Tamandua tetradactyla: one gene and its partner. The protein of the gene in region 1 purifies or fractionates together with the protein of each later gene. This does not show direct contact. Links are inferred from orthologs where the notes say so. Each region holds a gene or a part of one and is shown in the gene's direction. Other genes may lie near its edges.

Region 1 (7,221 bases):
ACATGGCACTATATTGCCTCCTCTGCGAGTCTGGTTAGTTTGGGGGGCTCTGGTCCTCCCTCCCCACTCTGCTTTGGGAAATCTCCGCTGCCTGGCCTCACTGCCTCCACATCCATGAGCACAGCAGCATGGTTTACGCTGGGAGATCCTGGGGCCCAGCCATGTTTGAATGGACACCTGGCCCAAGCTAGGCCAATCAGATATTCTGATTGTGATTGCAAGATGGTGGACAGTTGTCTTAAGAAGTCATTTCATATGAGGACTTCTATACATCAGCAGTGAACACTGAATGAAAGAGTGAGAGAGAGAAAGACAGAGGGAGAGGATGAGAGAGTGAGAGAGATGTATAGAACTGAAGAAGAGAATGGCTCTTTGATTTGCTGAGATCCTATGGAAAACTCTACTCTTCTAATAAAATCCCATTTCTCTCATGCAACATGAAGCAACTTCTATCATTGTAATCAAACTTAACACATTCCACCTAGGCAGCACCACTCTTTACCAGTCTCCTCCTTTGACACTGCTCTTAAACCCAACAAGATGACCAGCAGCAATCACACCAAGTACACATTCTAATATGCAACTAATGACTCAAAGGCATGAATAAAAGGCCCTGAGAATGAAAGAAGCTCCAAAGCTTTATATAGTGATATTTTAGCCCAGCCCTGTTCTCTTTTCTCCAGCTTATATAGACTGGATGTTGGTGTTTACTCAATTTCCAGCTCTTGTCTCTTTCCACAGACCCATCTCAAAGGGACAGCCAAACTCCAGTGATTCGCTCCAGGGTTATAAGAAGATCCTCTCATATAAATATTTTAATGTTTTCACTGTCCCGCTTCTCTTTCTGTCTCAATCGCCTATCTCGTACTCTGTATATTCTCCAAGTTCAGGCCTTTTCCCTCTTGTACACACCTAGAGCAATGGGCCTTTGCCTTGCCAGCACTCTTCCTACATGTTCATGTGTGTTTAAGGTCCTCTCCTCTGTTAGAGTATGAGCTCTGTAGAGGAAAGAAAGACTACACACTCTCTTCTCCCCAGCACCTGGGAGGTCCTCGTGGACTGTTTGCCTTGTTAATGCCATTCTCTCTACCTGGAAGGTCCTTCTCTATAGGTGCAAATATTTTCCAATCTTTAGACAAGGCCCATCTTAAAGCAACTTTCATTCCTGCCTGGAAGAGATTTCACAGGACTGTGAATACCTGATTTGCATACTCGTCTTCTACCTTGCACCAGGGTCTGTGGTTAAGTCTTATCTCTCCTGATATTTTGCAAATATCTTGAGGACAATGGAGTCAGTATAGATTTGAATCCTTACTTGGTCACTTGCCAGCAAACTCGTGTGACTTGGGAAAAGTCATTTCACCTCTCTCTATACCTCATTTTTCTCTTCTGTTCAGTGGGGATATTAATATCATCTACCTCATAGACTGTTGTGAAGATTAAATTAGATATTTTTGTAAAGTGCTTAGAGGAGTGCCAGGCACATGAGAAGCACTTTTAATAAATATTAGCCATTACTATCCAAATTTTTATTATGTTATTAGTTATCTATTGCTGGGTAAAAATTATTCTGGAATTTATTGGCTTAAAACAACAATAAGCATTTTTTATCTTTCATATTTTGTGAGGATGAGGAATTGAGGATGGGCTTAGATGGGTAATTCTGACTTGCAGTCTTTTGTGAGGCTGTAGTTAAGGTGTGAGCTGAGACCCGCAGTCTTCCAAAGGTTTTCCTGGGACTGAAGGATCCAATTCCCAGACTTCAGCTCTTCATCATGTGGGCCTTTGCATGGGGCTGCTCTAATGTTCTCATGACAAGGCTCTCCCAGAGCGATTTATCCAAGAACCAAGGCAGAAAAGCCACAGTGCCCTTTATGACCCAACCTCAGAAGTTACACCCCGTTACCTCCACCGTGCTCTTTGGTCACCCAGACTAGCTCTGTTTCAGTGTCGAAGGAGCTACAAAAGGGCATGAAGCTCAGAGGTGAGGATCATTGGGGTCTGTGCCACATTCATATTCAGTTTTCCTCCAAGAGAATTAGTGCAAGCAGGGTTAGCAATTATCGATTGTGGGATACTTGCTGGCTAGGGAGGAATTCCAAGGAAGAAGGAAGAAATGAATAAAGGAAATAACTCTTCATCTCTTGCCTCTTCTCCCTTTCCACTTTCAGCTTAAGTCAGATTCAATTTCTTATGGCTCTTTAGAACCTACCTAACTCTTTTCTTCCATTTCAAGGGCTTCATACCTGCAGTTTTTCTGTTTGAAAGTTCCTTCTTTCCACTTCACTTGGTGACCTTCCTCTCACTAATTCAGGTCTTAGCTTAAATATGACTTCCTCTGGGAAACTTTCCCAGTTTCCCTTAGGTTGTCACTGTGAGGTGTCTCCTATCACAGCCGGTATCCAGTGTTTGGAAGACAGCGGTATCCCCAAGTGATGGGAACAGCTGAGGAAAAGGGACGAAACAAGGAAGAAGAAATTAGCATGGTGTGGTCCTCTTACACAGTGCTCTCCAAAAGAATGATAAGGGAATTTTCTGTATCCTGAAGCCACATGTGGTTACTGAGCTCTTGAAATATGGCTTAGTGCGACGGAGGAACTGAATTTTTAATTGTATTTAACTTTAATCATATTTAAATACCAACATGAGACTAGTGGAAATTTGTATTGTACAATATGGCTCTTACAGAAAGACACCTGTCTAAACAGAGGACAGAGTGTCAGAGACAAGTGGAGGCTAAACTTTGCCAAGTAGGGAGAATGGGCCCCTTGAGAATAGAAGGTACCATGATAAGCCATGCTAAACCATGGTAAATGCTTGCCAAATATTTGATGATGATATTCTATTACCTCTCCCTGCAAGATTATTTGTAATTGAGCTGAATACTTTCCAATATAAAAAGGTATAAAGACACAGGGATCTGATCTTCTGATTGCAAGTTTTGAGAGAGGTATTTTGGGGGATTTTACCTACATCTGCCACCTAGAATTAGGGTCAGAGCCCTAGTTTTTAAGAGGGTCAATAGTTGTAATGGCTGCATCCAAATCTGTCTTCTAACACAAGTCAAGAAGCAAGTTTTCTCCAACCTCCCTCCACCCTTCTCCTTCCTTCCTTTCATGTCAGTTTGATAGGCTTTAAGAAGTGAAGGTGGAGCAGTTCAGTACCTTCTCCTTTAAAAGCTCAGAAACAAGAGAAGAATATAAAAATATCCACACACTGGCTGGGAGCCAGATGTTGTCGGCTGCTGTCTTGCTGGACTTGCTCTTTCTTATTTGTAAAATGTTAGTGCTAGAGAAGACTTTTGAGGTCCCCTCCCTTTTTAACTTCCGGGGGCCTTTTGTAATGTGATCATAATTGTAATGATAGTAAAACCAGCAGCCACCTTAACCAAGCGCTTACCAAGTGCCAGACACTGTGCTAAATGCTTCAGATTCACCATTTTATTCAATCCCATTTTATAGATGAGGAAACTGAGATTCCGTGAGTTTGAGTAGCTACTCCTGGGTCACACAGGTAGTCGTGAGTGAAGTTGGGATTTGATTCCAGCTGATTCCAACCCTTGAGCTCTTAATCATCTTGCTATATGAATTGCTTCTCTTCATGGGTGGGTCAGTGGTGAACGGTGGGTTCAGTATTTAGTAATACTGAATGTTTTTATGTGTACTCTGAACTCCACGCCTAATTCTCTACTAGTTCGCTTGGTAGTGCCCTCATTGTACCGATGGGGAAATCAGTGAGGCTCAGAGAGACAAAGTAAATTGCTCAAGGTCATATAGCGAGCAAATGGCACGGATTCAAAACCAGGGAAACTGCCTCCAAACCCTCCCTTAACCCTTCGGGTCTCCAGCACTGCATAGGCACGTCGGGGAAATACTACGTGACCTAAGGCTGGGACAGCCGCCGTCAGTCCTGGTCGCCGGGTCGGCCCTGGCGGCACGCCCCCGCCGCGCACGCGCTCTTGGGCTCTTGGGCCGCGGCGCGCAGCGGGCGCGAGGACGGCGGCAGGGAGCGTGCGCGCGGTGACGTGCCCGGCGCCATGTTGGAGGGCTGGTGGTAGCGGCTCGGGGAGGTGCTCGCTCTCTCGGTCTCGCTCTCTAGCTCGCTTCCCCCGGCTCCCTTCGGTGCCCCCCCCCGGTCGCCTGCGTGCCGGAGTGTGTGCGAGGGAGGGGGAGGGCGTCGGGGGGGTGGGGGGAGGCATTCCGGTCCCCGTGAGACCCGCGGAGGAGGCGGAGGCTGCGAGGGACTCCGGGAAGCCATGGACGTCGAGAGGCTGCAGGAGGCGCTGAAAGGTGGGGGTAGCTGCCCCTCTCCCATCCTGCTCACCTTTCGCGTTCCTCTCTTCTCTCTCCAGAGAGGGTTGTTGTGAGGACCGGGGCTGGGGGGAGGGGGCGCTTCCCAGTTCCCATCCCCCTTCCACCTCCCCAGGGGCGGGGAGCCCTGTGGGCAGCTCCCTCCCGCCCTACTCTGGCTTTGTGTCGACCGTCGGCGTCTGGGCTGGGGGAGGGGATCAGGGGAGGCCCTTGGAGGGGCCCTAGCCCCTGTACCCACTTACCCGGGGGCAGGCTGTGGGCCGGCAGCCCCTTCCCAGACAGGCTCCGTATTCCGTCAGATCCCCACACACCAGGCGTTGGGGGTGAGAGAAAAAGTAAAAGGTTAGGGGTGGTGATGGTGGCAGAGCAACTTTTAAGTTGTCTTAGGAAGCCTTTCTGGGCTTCTGAAGTCATCCTTCCACGCGCCCTTGTTCTAAGGGGGTCGCCTTCCAAGCAACAGGCTTGAGAACAGTAGGTTCTCAAACTTAGGCTATTGTGATTTAAACGTTTTGAGAATTATGCTTTGACATTCAGAACTATTTGGGGGAGTTAACGTGGGTTGGCTGGTGCTTGCAAAAACCCAGGTTTATGGACCTCACCTCCATAAACAGTTTGTGGGGTTCTGGGTCTGGAAATTACTATTCTATCCAGATTCCCAGGTGAATCAGATTCTGGCGTTCCGCTGGACCACACTTTGAGAAACACTGCAGTAAGGCGGCTGTTTGTGGAGAGGTCGAGTGCCCCCTTTAGGAGATCATTGTTACCAGTGAAGAGTGACATACTGAAGTGAAACTTCAAGGGTGGAGGTCAATATTTGGTTGAGACGCTGATTTTTTTTTATTACCCAGGACAGGCAAGATCTGGGAGGAAAGTTTGTTTTAGAGAGAATGGTTGATAGGCTTTGAGAAATAATGACTATTTTTGTTTTCTTTTCTAGATTTTGAGAAGAGGGGGAAAAAGGAAGTCTGTCCTGTCCTGGATCAGTTTCTTTGTCATGTAGCCAAGACTGGAGAAACAATGTGAGTTGAAAACATGCATTCATGATAATAGACTTATGTATCATTTAGTATTGTATAGCAAAGGGAAAAAAGTACGTTTTGGAAGAATTAAGTAACTCAGCTGTCTAACCCTACAGTTAGTTCCCAGTTTAAAAAACTATGTACTTTATTAAGCACATTTTCTGTGATGAACTTTTAAAATTCATTGATTTTTTTATATTTACATTTAAACCCATTTAAAATTTATTAGTCTGAAAGAGCTAGAGAAAGGAAAAATGCCTATTCCATTATAACTGTTTTTGGCTATAACAAACAGGGATATTACCAGAATTTTGTGGCTTTGATTCTATTTCAGATTCTTTTGTTAGTGTTATTTTCTCATTGTCTTGTATCCAACCGTTTGTTGTTGTATTTATATTGGTGGGTGTTTGAAGTGTCACTTCTATTCTCTTGGGGGCTCGGAGTGATTATCTGACAGATTCCAGATGCTACAGTTTTGAATGTCCTGTAAACTTTCTAGGATAGCTAACTTGTTACATATGCTCACCATTTTATTAGGCTTGTTTCCAAGTGTTCTGAATCTGAAACTTACACTATAAAGTTTAGGACTGTTTTCAAAAGGAACATTCCTGTTGACTGTTGTGTGTGTGTTTGGCAGGAGTTGTTTTCACACTGTGGCTAAGTTAAATTTTAAAGGGCAGTGCTTGATAACTTTTTTTTGGTAGTCTTTTCTTTGGGTGTCGGTGAGGGGAGCGGTAAAGGGAAAAGGTTTCTTTGGGTACAATTTTCATAAATGAGCTCTCTTTTGGCTCCCATACTTCTTGTCTACTTTTACAATTCTTTTTGAGGCCTAAAAGTGTAAGCTTCGGCAAGTGATGTATTTAAGTTCTCTGGTTTTATTCCAGTTTCTTACAAGAGTTCTTACAAGATTTGCTTAGGGTTGAAGTCTAGCCTTCTAATAATTAATCTAGTTTTAGAAAGGAGAAAAGACTCTTATACCCTAATGCTTGATTTAATGATGATGTAGATAAGCTTACCCTCCTAAGTGCTCTATTAAAATACAGCAGTCAGCTTAAGAATATGACTGTGATGTGTTCAATCATATATTTCTATGTATTATATTTTTAAAATGGACCCTTTAGGAAAAAAGATTAAATAGCAGTTTTACACCAAAGTATAGTTTCTTATAGAATACCTTGATTTTTAAAAAATTCTACATAATAGCTAATTTGTATTTAATTACATAAATAAGCCTAAATATGACTAGATATCAGTTTCCAAAAATACAGTTGCTAAAACATAGATGCTTGGATCTCCACTGTACTTCTTGTATTACTTGTTGGTCCAAATTAATTCCTTTCCACAATATCAAGAGAAAGACGTATACAGGATTATGTCAGATTATTTGTTTAGAGAAACAATAAGAGAAGGAATCTTTAGTATTTATCAGTTCTGTACAAACTGCCTTCCCTTTCTGATAAAATACACTGGCTGCAAATGTTTGAAGAGTTGAAAGCTTTTAAGATCATTTTAATATCTTGTCTTCCTGGCTGACCAAGTAGCAAGGGAAATTTGACCTAATTTTTCTGTACTATTTGTTTATTTCTATTGGCCAAATTAGGTGTTGGTATCTTTGCTAAGAGCATTTTGTATTAAAATGATTGGCATTCTTAACTTTTAGTAGAGTTTAAAATATGGAATTTTTTTTTATTTTACCATTGAAGCTAGTGTTTATACATTTAGCTGTAACTTTTGATTTCTTTTTATTAATGCGGGCATGCTTTTTGATAGTGGAATTTAGAGATTCTGTTATCCATTTGTGGGTGAATTGAGCTCTCTAGTTTATAAGATTGTAACATGAGAGCAAAAATCTAAAAACAAGCAATTCAGATCTGATTGACACTTTTAGGATG
Region 2 (7,508 bases), on another chromosome or scaffold:
GTGAATGCAGACAGAGATGTAGGTTACAATATGTGAGATAGCTAATGTTTCTTCTTTGAAGCTTTTTACTAGAATAGGAAGTTTTATTTGAAAAAAATTCCTGGAAAGAGTCTAGTCCTTTTGGGATACACACTGTGCTACACTAGACAGAGTGTAGCCTTACATTCAGAGTCTGAATAACTGCTGACAAGGTTATGAGAGGGCTCTGGGTAAAACTATATGAATATATCTCCTCCTTCCATTTATTTATTTTCCCATTTCTGACTGTTTTTATAAAAATAATCCGTATTCACTTGAAAAAAATCAAAACAACTCAGAAATATGTACAACAGATACTAAAGTCTCCAAAATCTCTTTCCTTCTAATCCCCTCAGAAATGATAATTATAATAATAGCAAATATTTACATGGCACAACTTTGGGTTCACTGTTCTAAGTACTTTACATTTGTTAATTCATTTAATCCTTACAGCATTCCTATGAGATATGCACTATTATACTCCCCATTTTGTAGACGAGGACAGTAAAGCACAAGAGGTAAACACCTCCCCCAAGGTCACACAGTCAGGATGCAGTAGGCCTGGGATTTGAACTCAGGCACCCTGTGTTCAGAGTCTGTGTCCCTGACTTGTATGCTATTCCCTCTTCCTCTCAGTTGGTCTCTGTTGTTACCAGGTTAACATATCATATGCTTATTTTTAATCAAAGTAATGAGGATTTTAATATTCAGGCCACATTGTTGATGAGAGCAACAGAAATGGTGGGAAGAAGTCTTAGTCCAGGATGAAGGCTCTCTCTATGATAAATGGTGACAAGAATAAACCTAATGTGTCCCATACTCTCCCTCCCTACTCATCAGAGCACGAGCCTGTGTCATGAAATCAGAGATCTTCACCAGGCACATACTGGAGGCAGCACACTACAAAAACTTATCTGCAGCCAGAGAAAACTAAGTTCAAATCCCAGCTCTGCACTTTAGTGGTTTGTGCCTGTGGGAAGCTACTTGACCTGCCTGGTGGTAGTTTCTTCCATGCAGAAAATTGGGCTAAAATAACTCCATTGTTGTGAGACTGAATAAGATAATGTTCATAGATGCTTGATAATAGTGTTTTCTGTTCTTCCACTGCCTGGCCAGTAAAACCAAACTTTGACAGCAGCTGATGGCAAAGGACAGCCAGGACAGATTCAGCACGATCACAGATTTGGGGGTTCACCTCAGTTCAGGGTCAAGCCCATGGTCAACTCTTTGTGAAAGTGTGCTAGTGAATGAACAGTCATAGCCCTGGGCCCTGCCTGCTCCATTCATGCACTTTGTAGATGCTGAAGTGAGAATGCATGGATTTTTAATTAAAACCATTTATTTAAAAAATTTACTTACAATATCGTCTAGTTGCAGGCAGACAGGATCCTCATCTCTCCCAAACCTGAGAACCAATACCTTCTCTGCAGTACTTTTTATTGCCTGGTCTACTTCTTTTTTGCTAGTCAGCTTGGGCAATAAGAAGCTCATCTTGAAATAATCCAAATACAAATCTTCACTGTTAATTCTGAAATTAAATCACAGTGTTTAAAGACAGTTTAGATTAAGTACATGAAACTAAAATTAGTTTAGTTTTTTTGGTAGGTAATATATTCACATAGTTTAAAATGAAACAATATAGAAAGGTCTCCTGTGCCTAGTTCCATTGAACTGTTTCTTCCCCTCACACCACGTAACTACTCGCATTAGTTTCTCATGTATCCTCCAGAGTTTTGTTATACATTCGTAAGAAAATAAAAATATGTATTCCTATTTTTCTCCCTTTTTTTACCCCAAAGTTAGCCTATTTGTTAGAGTCAGTGTTCCAGAAGAAAACAGATGGCTTCTACCTCCAAATTTGATCATCTGAAGAGAGTTTAAGTAAACAACAAGATACAGTGCAGTACTCTGGGGCTAGTAATAGCAGGGCACTCTCCCTACTCCTAGGCCTGCAGAGGCCATGGGAGGGATAATTACCAATACCAGGTAGTGAAGAGAACTGAATGGAGAGGGCCACTGTATAGGATGTCAGCTTGCATTAAGGAGATGTAGTCACTCTCTTCCCTCTGTACAGTGTCCTGCTAGGGCTCCCATTGGCTGACTCCAACTGGAACTAGAGGGCAGGAGAGTTGGGGAGGCATGCCAGCCTCCCAGATCACAGAGAAGTCTAGAGAAGGAGGACTGGATATAGAGGGACAAATGGAGGATGGCTAGTGCACACACTACTCATTATGCAAGTCAGAGTTCTCTAACGAAACAGAACTGACAGGAGCTATCTGTAAATATTATGAAATTCTTATAAAACTTGTTCAATTGACCATGGAAATGCATAAGCCCAAATTCCATAGAATAGGCTGTAAGCTAGGAATTTCAACAAATGTGTTTGATGAATTCCCCAGAAGAAGGAGACTCTGATGAATTATCCTGGAGAAGCTGGCTGGCTGAAGGAAAGATGTAAATTCTCTAACTACTGAAATCATTATTTCTTTTAAAGGCTTCAATTGATTGGATGAGATATCTCACTTTGTTGAAGTCAGTCTCCTCAGTTGATTGTAGATATAATCAGCCATAAATGCAATCAACTTAGTAATGAATTAAGTCCACGAAATGTCCTCACATTAATCAGGCCAGTGCCTGCTTAACCCAACAGCCCCACACTATCATCTTGCCAAGTTGACATGTAAACCTAACCTTCACACCCACTCTTAGGCTCTTTGCATTTTTTACCTTACCTATAAAAACCTTCCCCTATCTCTACATAGAAAACTCCCTCATTCTTTGTCACAACCACATACTATTTAATGTATGTACCAAAATTTTCAATTCAGTCCTTGATTAATGGACATTTGTATTATCATTATTCCTGGTTTAAAGATTCTTGGTGAATACCTTACCACCCAAATGGGTGAAGACACCCCTCCACCTATTCCATCTTAACAACCACTCTTGATTAAATCACATCAAGATCACATCAAGATGTGACTCCCTAAGTCATATCTCCAGGGAGATGTTCTAATTACAGTTTCAAACATACAATACTGAATAGGGATTAGAAGAAATGGCTGCTTTTACAAAATGGGATTGGGATTAAAACATGGCTTTTCTAGGGTACATAAATCATTTCAAACCAGCACATAGGTGCACATAGAAACTGGCAAACAATCAAGAGCGTATGTGAAAACCACCATTAAATAAACAAAATACTGAGGTGAAAGGACGTAATCTATCCCTCTCAATTTTCAGACTAGTTTGCTTATAGTTACATGTTTAGCTACTAGAATAAAGACTAGATCCAGGCCACTAAATTTCTATGCAGTTCTCCTACTTTTACTCTTGGAAAAAAATTCATTTTTGAGAAACATTTTGTGGGTGCAGGGACAGGCATTTATAATCCCTGCTGGAATGTAGAAAGGCAAAACCTTTCTGAAATGAAAGCTGAAGTACTTTTTTCCATTTCCTAAGAAATTAATTAATTCTTAGGAAATAACCAGACATAAAGATTTATGTACAAAGGATATTCATTGCATTTATAAGGTGAACACCTGGAAATGGCCATCAATTGGGGATTGGTAGGATAAATGATAATACAGTCCTGCAATGTGCTATCACAAAGCCGCTAAATATAGTTAAAGATGAACATTTAGAAACTGAAAAATTCTCTATATTGCCAAAGAAAAAAGTTAGAAAACAGTTTATAAAGCGTGATCCCAATTTTATATAAAACCTAACTATAATGTAGTTAAGTTATATATGTATATAACTACATGTATATAGTATGTGTATACAGTATATAACTACTATATATAACGTAGACTATTACATTATATACATGGAAAAACAACTGGAAATAAATACCTCTATACATCATCAGTGGTGATCTCTGCGTGTGGACAGATGGGTGACTTTCATGTACTTCGGGGGGTGCCTCTGTATTTTCCAAATATTCCACAATAAACATGTATCAGGAGAAAAAGATCCAAAACACTATTTTTTAAACGTCTATGGTTGAGCTACTCCTGATAGGAGAAGACACCTGCCAGGGACGACCATGGCCATACCTACTTTGCCTGTACAAGTCACCTTCCTCTCTTCCACTTCAGGGTTGTCACAAACGCCACCCTTTCTAGAAAGAGCCGAGATGCGGGTGGCGTCCCTTTTTTCGGCCCCAAGCCGGGCAGCGACTCAAATACAAGAAAACCCTCAGGGACTGATGCCTACCAATACTGGGGACCACCCTGGCGGGGAGGAAGCGTAAAAAGAAAACCCACGGGTACTGCAGACGAACCCGCGGCAGCTGGTCCGGAAGGCCCAAAACGCAGGAGAGGTTATTCTAGTCACTGCCCAGAGTGACCGGAAACCTAGAGCCACTTCCGCCCTTACTAAATGTGACTTTCCCTCTCCACCCCCGCCCCAACACCCTCAGCCTAGAGGCGGGGTCTCGCCTCTTAGGCTAAGCGTGATTGGCTCGCGAGGTGGGCCCGGAAGTGCTTTTATTAGCGCTCTAGGAGAGGTCACTTTAGCCTTGAGACCCTGGACGTGTTCGGTTCCTGTCTTGGATCCAGGAACCGGCGTTTTCCGGCCTGCTCTCTATGGTATCTTCGGGCACCTAGAGGGTCCACGCTAGGTATCATGGGACAAGGATGGCCGCGTTCAAGGTGCGGATTTTGGCTCTCTGAGGTCGCCTGAGGAAGGGTGGCGTTGCCAGCGCCCCAGAATCTGCGACAGAAGGGCCCTGAGAGTTGTGCTCGTGCGGTGAGTGTCCCTTCTTCCTTTCTGACCTGTCCTTGCCAGTTACCGGCGGCTCCAGGTGGCGAATATCGGTCCTTTGCCTAGGTCCGGGCTCTAGCTTAGAAAGTTTCTCTTTCCGCCACTGTCACCCAACTTGCTTTACTCACCTCAGCGATGTTGCACTCTCACCGAAGTCCTGGGATGCTGCCCGTCGTTGCCCTGCACCCTTCCTTAGGCTTTCGCATAGCCTACTCCCAGAGTACCAGGCCGAGTAGGGTTCCTTGTGTTCCCTCTTCTCCCAAAGAGTGGTCTCTTACCCAGGCGATCTGGTGGGTGATCTCTGCTAAAATGTCAGCTCCAAGAAGGAGGGGATTTTTTGCCTGTTTTGTTCTGTTCTATCCCTATTGACTAGAACAGTGATTGACTCAAATAATCACTAGCTCAGTGATATTCATCGGCGCAATGAATAAACGTTGAATTAGTAAATCCAGTTTCGTCACTGTTTTTCTTGTACCTTTTGTGGCTTCTTTGCCGTCGGTGCTCCAAAATCTAGGTCCTTGATTATTTGTTCTCAGCAGCTAGTTAATTCCTCGCTGTCAGACACTTTGTCTTTGCTGCTGGTAACCTTGCTTGCTGTCTCTAGAAATATATGGCTTTCTGTTCTCCTGTGATACGTTTAAATTCATTCATTCATGAATGAATGAGCATTTATTTTGCTTGGCACTGGCAAAATGCTAGTCTCTCATTTGCAGACTAACATTCTATGGTTATGTTTCCTAGTTCAGACTGTGGCTGAGTTGAGCCTGTATTGCTCTACTTTCCTGTTTGGATCTCCTCACATGTGTACAGATATGTAGATCCCCTTTCTGTTCTGATGGCATTTTTCACAATGCAGCTCTTGTGTCTGACTCCATATCATGTGCCCAGTGTGTTGGCAGTGTTGTGTTATAGGGCTGTTCTTGTTTGTTAGAGCTTGGCAAAAATTTTGGGTTCTGGTAGCACCCTGTGCCTCCACAGTTCCAGTGTTTTACTGACTTGTTGGAATGACAGGCTTGTTCAAGCAGTCATAACAGGTGTACATTTACAAGTGGGTCTGTGTAGTGAGAGGTAAAGAGAAATTTGTTATTATTGAGGGACAGAAAGTCTCACAATCACTTAAAGAAAATACTTTTCAGAAACCCATTTCCTAACTTAGTGTTTCTTATCAATGTTTTTGGTGAACATGTATTGTTATTGTACAGGTTTTGACTGTTAGGTGGTAATCTGTTTCTCTAAAATACAGCTGGTCCAAAAAATGTCCTAGAACGTTGATGAAATGGTTGATAGCCTCATACCCCAATATCTGTACTCTGTTTTATCTGCAGTTTAAAGGGAAGGAGGGTTAGAAGAACACAGAAGACACGTGTAAAAAATTTGTGAGGGAACCAATTAATATCTAGGAGTATGGTAAATAAAATAATGTAACAACTACATTCATGTAACTCTTTATGATTATGGAGATCTCTTACATATACTTTCTTGTTTGATCTTCACAATAATTCCACGCATTAGATAAAGCAAAAATTATTTCTGTTTTACAGATATAGAAACTATGGATAATCAAAGATTAAGTTATTTATTTGCTTACAGTCATGCAGGTAGAAAGGGTCAAGGGCATGGACTCTTCTAATTTAGGTTTTCTGATTTCAAATCTGGCGGTATTTCTCCTTCACTGCCTTTAAAGATACCGTTATGCTCTAGTAAGAGTCTCTTTATGAAGTTTGTTCTTGCCTGTCTGATACTCTCTTGGATCTTGGTTTATCGTTGGGGTATCTATTTTTGGTGTGTGTTGGGGTGGGACTAAGTGACTAAATCTTGGCAAGAGGTAGCTAAAGAAATCTTGGTCTGGGAGTGGGGTGTGGTCATTGTTAACTCCCTAAATAACCTATATTACCTATAGTTATTCTGCAATATGGAAGAACCAAGCCTTTTCCCCTTTTATTTCTCAGAACAAATAATATGTCTTCCTTGCAGACAACCCCCAGAGTCTGTAATGGAGGATACCAGTGAGGATCCCACGATCCATCGACTGGAAGGGACTGATCTGGACTCTCAGGTTGGAGGTCTTATCTGCAAGACTAAAAGTGCGGCTAGTGAACAGCATGTCTTCAAGGCCCCAGCTCCCCGCCCTTCATTGCTGGGACTAGACTTGTTGGCCTCCCTGAAACGGAGAGAGCGAGAGGAGAAGGATGATGGGGAGGACAAGAAGAAGTCTAGAATTTCTTCCTACAAGGACTGGGAAGAGAGCAAGGATGAACAGAGGGATGCTGAGGAGGAGGGCAGTGACCAGGCTGGCCGAAGTAGCCGAAAAGACAGGTAAAGGCTTTATGATGGGTTAACCTAGAGGGAATGAAAATGGAGACTGGAAAATAACAATCAGTATGTATCTCTGTTTTCTTGTTGGACATTTAAACTTTCAGATTTTATTATGATTTTGTAATGTGAGATTAGGTAGGAACTGGTATTTTCTTCATATTTCTGGGGACCTTTCAAAGGTGACTAAAGAGTAGAGGATGGAGGTTAGAAATATTTTGAGTTGCTGCTGTATATAAGCCTGTTGTACCAGGAAGATGAAGTGAAATAGGACAGGTCACTTGTTTGGCATAGCCAAGAATTTCTTTTGGGGCAAAATTTCTCTCCTGTAGAATGTCCCTTTACCAGTTACCCTCCCTGTTTCAGGCATTATCGTTCTGCCCGAGTGGAGACGCCATCCCATCCTGGTG

The links. Proteins that work in one complex are often made in the same cells at the same time.
Region 2: the proteins of PPP4R2 (region 1) and DHX38 purify together in Homo sapiens (affinity purification with mass spectrometry; 3 studies listed by BioGRID and IntAct, counting the BioPlex papers as one, with this or other methods). This does not show direct contact. The link is inferred for Tamandua tetradactyla from reciprocal best matches to the Homo sapiens genes PPP4R2 and DHX38.

Annotation. Positions count from the first base shown.
Region 1 is NC_135341.1:10,712,085-10,719,305, reverse strand, and holds the start of PPP4R2 (serine/threonine-protein phosphatase 4 regulatory subunit 2), read left to right. Parts: upstream 1-4,133; 5' UTR 4,134-4,255; coding exon 4,256-4,289; intron 4,290-4,300; exon of another isoform or gene 4,301-4,633; intron 4,634-5,247; coding exon 5,248-5,329; intron 5,330-7,221. UniProt on the Homo sapiens protein: Regulatory subunit of serine/threonine-protein phosphatase 4 (PP4). May regulate the activity of PPP4C at centrosomal microtubule organizing centers.
Region 2 is NC_135342.1:66,664,300-66,671,807, reverse strand, and holds the start of DHX38 (pre-mRNA-splicing factor ATP-dependent RNA helicase PRP16), read left to right. Parts: upstream 1-4,455; 5' UTR 4,456-4,770; intron 4,771-6,759; 5' UTR 6,760-6,778; coding exon 6,779-7,101; intron 7,102-7,464; coding exon 7,465-7,508. Other genes in the region: TXNL4B (thioredoxin-like protein 4B), read right to left, coding at 1,378-1,509. UniProt on the Homo sapiens protein: Probable ATP-binding RNA helicase. Involved in pre-mRNA splicing as component of the spliceosome.